2 linked regions of the Xenopus tropicalis genome follow. The protein of the gene in region 1 interacts with the protein of each later gene in a biochemical or structural test. Links are inferred from orthologs where the notes say so. Each region holds a gene or a part of one and is shown on either strand. Other genes may lie near its edges.

Evidence for each region.
Region 2: of the proteins of bmp1 (region 1) and chrd.1, one has a biochemical effect on the other in vitro, tested with the Homo sapiens proteins (3 studies listed by BioGRID and IntAct). The link is inferred for Xenopus tropicalis from reciprocal best matches to the Homo sapiens genes BMP1 and CHRD.

Annotation. Positions count from the first base shown.
Region 1 is NC_030679.2:129,645,428-129,649,259, forward strand, and holds part of bmp1 (bone morphogenetic protein 1 precursor), read left to right. Parts: intron 1-3,457; coding exon 3,458-3,603; intron 3,604-3,832. UniProt on the Homo sapiens protein: Metalloprotease that plays key roles in regulating the formation of the extracellular matrix (ECM) via processing of various precursor proteins into mature functional enzymes or structural proteins.
Region 2 is NC_030681.2:99,630,241-99,633,410, forward strand, and holds the end of chrd.1 (chordin), read left to right. Parts: coding exon 1-5; intron 6-225; coding exon 226-380; intron 381-691; coding exon 692-782; intron 783-1,674; coding exon 1,675-1,739; 3' UTR 1,740-2,548; downstream 2,549-3,170. UniProt on the Homo sapiens protein: Dorsalizing factor. Key developmental protein that dorsalizes early vertebrate embryonic tissues by binding to ventralizing TGF-beta family bone morphogenetic proteins (BMPs) and sequestering them in latent complexes.

The sequences.
Region 1 (3,832 bases):
TGACTTAGTTTAAATATAATGAGCTCTGTATAAACAATCCCCTCCCTTCAGCATTTGTTGTGATTGTATTGGCTAATAGATTAACAGAAATCCTCCATGCAGGGGGATTATCTGTGCGCTTGTAATCTTAAATTATCTTTGCGCTTGTAATCTTAAATTATCTTAAATTCCCCTGTTTGCCTTACTTATTGCCTATTTTTTGGCTATGTCCAGCACAAGCCCTATACATTGAAACCATACTGAATAAGGAGTACACTGCCCCCTTTAAGAAAAAGTATTACCTTATAGCGCTTTTTCCCACTGAATGCTGGGAAATGCTTCATTCAGCAGTTATTGCAGTTGAAACGTAGCATTGATAGCCTTGCAAATTGTGGTATCCACTCCTCGTGTTTTTCCAGAAGGCATATTTGTTCTATAGACTGCAGCTAAACATTTCCACAAGCTATGACCTGTGCTGCTGCAGACATACCAACTTTTTGACATGCAATAACTTTTTAAAGGAGTCGTATTGCCTTTTTATAATTAAAATAGGAATATTTATGAATATTTACTACAATGAAAGTTGAAAAATATAGCTTTTTTTTTTTTTACCAAATCTGGGATCTGAACAAATAACCCCCCCCCCCTCCCCCGGGCTGCAGCAGAAAATTCTATAGGGCTCACGTACATAGGCAAGTACAGTGAGCAAAGTGCAATCGCCATGTTTTTTCCCAAATTTTGGTGTCATTGTGGCCGCAGTTCTGCTGTGCCTGCCGAATTATGTCAGATTGGCAAAATTACTGAAACTGCACACACTGTTGTAAACCACATGCAATTGCGTGTAACTCTGTGTTTGTCACATTAGTGATATCCATGATATCTTCAGGCACAAGTGTGCTACGCCTATGGACACTGGGTGTGAAGGGAACATTGGAGCTACTGCAAGGGTTGCCACCTCTGCCATCTTTTTTCACCGGGCATGGGGCAGGTGGTGACAAACACGGGGCGGAGAAGAGGTGGGAACATTGATGTCACAGGGTGGGGCTATGAAAACTGGGCTGTCCGGGTCAAAACCGGACTGGTGGCAACCCTAGCTACTGCCTGGTCAGGGGATGGTGGTAGGTCCAGGGTTTCCATGTGTCAACAGGCATCTGATTCAGAACAGAAGGCAGAAGGGACTAAAAGGCACCAAGTGCAACTATAGAGAATTGCAAGGAGAGCATTTAAATGCAAGTGGGGAAACACAACTGCGCTTGTGGATATAGATGAGCCCTAATGTGTTTGAAGTCCTTTTGTGCACTGCGTTCTGTATAAATATATATTTTGGTGATGCAGTACAACATCATTTCCTCCATTTATGTGGGTCCTGGACTTATTTGTATGCACTGGCTATTGTTCTTACAGGGATATCACATCTGGGCATAACCACAGGCAAAGGAATGTATTGTTTATGGTGGGAACAAGGAAGGCCCTCCATGCTGAATGCTATAACATCCTTTATGACTCAGCACCTAACCTAGTCTAGATCTCACATACCTACTTGTTTTTCTTTCCACTTTGCTCCACTTTCCACTCCAGTTTGATTCACTTTCCCACTAATGTATTTGTCTTGGGTTTCCTCCCATAACTTTCTTGAATTGGTTTTCATTTCCACTATATGTCGCTGTCCTATTTCCTGTTCCTAAGATTCTGCAGCACATCCTGCCTTTCCCCCAACAGTTTCCAAAGATTTTAAATTAGTGGTTCCAAAGCTTTTTTTTTCCAGTGCAAACAAAAAGAAAGGACACAGAATAGTGGTGGGAGACTTGACTTGCATTACCCCCAGATATTTCACCCCCAGCTTTAGCAGGGGAAAGCATAATGTTGCATTACTAGGCTAATGCCACACTGGGCATACACAAGCAGTCTTGCTTCAAATTCGGTGCCTGCATCCGATCAGATTTTTTAAGCACAGGGGCGGATTCTCGCCCTGCAGAGAAATGCAGAATCAGCTTTACATGACTTTACTACAACTACTACTAATAAATTTAGAATGGAACCTTTTTTTACACATGACCAAGAAGGTTAGACTTCTTAATCTACTTGTCCTTGAGTTACCATTTTGAACTTCTTCACAACAACTTCTGACTTTGATTGTGTTCTATAGGAACCACTAAACATTGGGTTTGGCACTGTTGTTCTTAATATGTATGTAATGTTAAACAAGCCCAAACCATATGAGAAAGGGTGGCCGCTGGAATCATGCATGCCTAACTGACTAACAGGCTGTAAAACCATTATGATTAACCTAACAGGGGTCAATGGTTGGCAGTTGAACTAAGGATATCCCTAAAATGATCCCATTATTTCCATGTACCCTGTCTAGTATGGTGAGTCATGATAGCACTTACTGCATGCTGTGGATGAAGGGAATAAATATGTCATTACTAGAGAAAGCATACACTGGAGAATAGCTTATGTGGCTATGAGGAAAAAAAATGGGAGTCCTTAGAGGGTGATTCAGTGAGATGTAAATTAACCCAACAGAACCTGATGGTTACAGGAAAATTGAAAATATGCTGGTAAACAAAATAAACATCAAACAATATTTGGATATTTAGAAATGTCAAGGAGGTTGGGCCTCTTGGCTTCCAGAATACCTGTAGTCTTTGTTATACAATTTAAGCACCGAGAGCTTTCTTAAAACAGAAGGTATCCCTATGCCCCATGCTACACACATGGCACTGTCTAAAAAAGCCAAACCGAGAGGGTTTAAACGTAAGGAATTATGGGCAGAGACGTGCAAATGACTCCTTATGGTCCCCATGGATACATGGCCACAAGAACATTAAGGAGTAATTTGCATGTCTTCACCCACAATTGTGTAAGTGAAGGTTAAAGCCTTTCATTTTTGGTTTTAAGGTAGTGCTATGTGTATAGCAAGAGGCATTTAAATGCCTTCTGTTTTAAGAAGGTACATGTCTCACCCTAACCAGTATGGTTTATTTGCTTATTTAATGAATTCATGAGATGCTGGAGCATTCCTTGTGAAAGTCAGACATGCTGGTGAAGCAGGAACCCAGAAATGTAGCATGCTTTCACTTAAAACACACCATAAACTTACAGTCTGCATTGGCATTCACATCTGAAGCAAAACTTGGCCTGTAAAAGTTCCAAGTCTTTGCCTGCCCTCTGATTGACTACAGTAGTGGCTTTATTACAGAATGAGAAATCAGAGTCCTCAAGGACCTCGGAGAAGGTTTGGCAAAGACTGCTACTAATTTAATGTTCTCCTTGTGATGAGGCCTGAAATTAAGCATTTGTGCAGAGTTTCATCTCTGCCTGGTCCCAAGACTTCTAAAGTGCATCACCTGCTTCTACGGCTTTGCATTACCCCCATTATTATTTATACCCCAACACACTTGACTTCCTGAACATTTTAACTAGATCCAATTTGTCCAACCTTGTCTTAAGTATCTGAACGTTCTCACTTTTGCAGCACTGTGTGGAGGAGACGTAAAGAAAGACTCTGGTCACATCCAGTCCCCAAATTACCCAGACGATTACAGACCCAACAAGGCCTGCGTGTGGAAGCTGAGTGTGTCTGACGGGTTCCATGTCGGAGTCTCATTCCAGTCCTTTGAGGTCAGTACCATGGGATAGAGCTATAATAATGACTATAATGAAGAAGAGATTATGCTTTCTGGGTGGGTGGATAATATAACTGTAGTAGGGGAGCATATGTTTAAGTACTGTTCTCTCAAAGCTGTTTTTTAAATGGAATTTTCCAGGTAGTGTATACATAAAAAATCAAATCCCCATTTAAGCATATTATCTACGTCAGGGTACACGGATATACACACTACTCATCCAA
Region 2 (3,170 bases), on another chromosome or scaffold:
CCCAGGTGAGGTTTAAAGAAGTCAAACTAAAGGCATATATGAGAGGGGGTTTGGGAGTTGTATTAAATGAGGGGCAGGAAAACATTATTGCAAGTTATAAATTCTCATACAAATTCATACATCCAGTATGAAAGGTTGCAGGCAATAACTTAGCAGCCAAATTATGAATGTGCAGTGTAGATTCATGTAATGGCATGTAACAGCTTTAATTGTTCTCTTTTGCAGTAGAGGAGCGAAGTCCTTTGGAGCTGGCAGACAGTATGCAGTCAGATGGACCGCGATCATGCAAATTTGGGCGTCACTGGTACCCTAATAATGAGCGCTGGCATCCAACTGTGACACCCTTTGGAGAGATGAAGTGTGTTACATGTGCTTGTGTGGTAAGTTGAAAGCTGGAGAGGAAATACATAATTGGGTTAAAAGAAGGCAAAAGCCCTCTAATGGAAAATATAGAATAACTACTTTAACAGTGGGAGAGAAATGTTGCTGGTGGAGAATTATTTATGGCAACAGGGAGAGGCCCAGGTAGAAACTTTATAGAAGGAAGACAGAAAGAGCTTTGGTGAGAATGAGGAGAGCTTAAACAATTTAAAAAAGGCATTGAAATGGTGCAGTGAAGCATAAATAGTGCAAATGAAAAAGACTCTTTTAGAAGTGTGTCTGAAATATAATATGTGATATGTATTCACAGGAGGGAGTTACACAGTGTCGGAGACAGGAGTGTACAGGAAATACATGTGGTACTGGTTCAAAGCGGGACAGATGTTGCACCAAGTGCAAAGGTAAGTTTACTTCAGCCCCTCACTATAAAATAAAGTATTGCAGTATACTAGTTTGAGCGATACTGCAGTACTCTTGTTAATTCTTCCCCCCCACCCTGTCTTTATCTCTTCTAGTCCAAACCTTGTGTAGCCAACATCTGGATTATATTTTTATGGTAGTGACTTATTTTTGCTGGCAATGTTGCAATTGTCACTATTAGTATTGTTAATTATTGTTATACCATTTGACAGTGTGAGAATGTTTGCCATTTGCTATGGCATATCACCTGCATCTTGTGCCAGATGTGATGTAACTGATGGAAAGGCTAATTTAGTAATACTTGTCATAAGCCATAGGCATTTTAAAATGGCACCGATTAACATACAATACAGACTTCCTCCTGGTCCCAAGGTCTGTTTTTGATTGTATCAGTAAATGCATTTTAAGATTTAAATCCATTTTAACAAGCCAAAATGTGGCTTAGTGCTTGTATCATATGAAATCGGTGTTCCAATCTTTACTGAGCACATGTGTCAGAGCTTTGGTTTAGGTTAGGTTTGCCACGTGGGCAGCATATTTACATGCTAGCAAATTCTGTCACAGCATCCCAGTACATTGTGGGTCTCTGCTTTATTGTGAGAATGCATTTTGCATTATTTTGGCTTTAGCAGTTGCTGTAGATTTTCTTACCTTTAATATATGTTTCTTACAGTGCCCTAGTAAACATGTGTTATGTCCGAATAAAAGTGTTTATGCAGAACATGCCATCAGTACCCCCATACACTGTAAATTGTATCTGTTACAGATGGGCAAAAGTAATTATATGCACACATGTGTACCTTGTGCTACTTTTATGTCACATTGCCTTGTTATTTTATGTCCACTAACTTAGCCTTTGTGATTCTCTTAAAGATGCCAAGCAAGATGAAGATGAAAAGGTGAAATCAGAGGAGACAAGGACTCCGTGGAGTTTCTAGAACGGAGTGCAACTGGGGCAATGGGACTGATTATCAAGGCTCATACAGGCAAGCCCCCAAGCCAAAACAACTGCCAGGACTCATGGATGGTCTGCACAATGTTTTGTCCCACTCTGATGACACTGCTACTGGATTATCTCCTTTTGTTTCATTTGCTGCCATGAAGCAGTGGGATTCTAGAGGCAGCATTTGGAACTAAAATACCTTGCCACCTTGGATTCATCCTTTCAAACACCCAGTCTGTCTTTCTGACAGAAGCAACTCTAAATCCTGCCTAAACAGGACCTGGAGTTTTAACGTCTGATCTGTAGAGTTATGCAACAGGAGCACAGGCACAGCATAGGTAGCTGTGCATATGTAGATATATTGACTAAAAGTGCCCTGTGGCTTTCTGCAGGACGGGAAGAAAAGTACAAGTGACAGACAAAGATTACAGTGTGCTTGCTGGAAAGTCTGTATATATGTCTGCGTGTGTGAATGTGTGAACGCATGATGTTACTTTGAGGGTGTATGAACAGACATATATCATTTCCTATTGTCCAAGCACACTCTTTGAGGAACTTTGTCTTGTATTATTTATGGTATTTTGAGTGGGTGCGGTACCTGTACTAATTAACTATTAATGATGGTCATATTTATTGAACTAAAATAAACTGAAGAAATTTTCCCAGTAATTGTTTTTCTATATTTTATTGGACATGGATAGAGAAGAAGGAAGTGTATATAAGAGGGAACTGGTAGGGGGGATGTCCTGAGTAATGCAAAGTCGTTCATTAATGGGCACATTCTACATTAAATGGCCAATATCCTGTCTGTGTTTTTAATTCATAAATTAAGAGGGATGCTGCAAATTCAGGATTCAGTTTAGGATTTGACCAAATCCTTAAAATATTTGCAGTATTTGGAAAAATATTTACGGTTTGGATTTAGTTCAGTTGAATGCTTAAAGTCATGTGACTTTAAAGCTCTGAACAACTGAATAAAATTATTTTTTGTTCACAGATGAAGCAATTTTTTTTATTAATTTCAAATGTGAATATGCAAATTAGGCTTTGGATTCAGTTTGATATTCAGCCTTTTTTAAGTATTTGGTATTCTGGTGTTTTCTCTGAATGTGAACATTTTAGATGAATTATTTTTTCCTGTTTTGAGCCATAGAAACTGTCTTATTTGTGCAGTGATGAATTTTCTCAAATCATTTTAAGATCAGATGAGAATAAGACTAGACATGGTGATTTTCCAAAATCTAGTCCAATGAGGTAGCCTGTTAGAAGAGGGAATATATTTGAAATATTAGTGAAGACGGAAATGAAGAAGTGATTTAAGACACTTTACGAGCATAAGTACTAAACTCACAACTACTGCTAAAGTGGTAATTGCACTATGGCTTTTGCAGTACAGGTGTGTATGGCAGAAAGATGCCCAATTAAC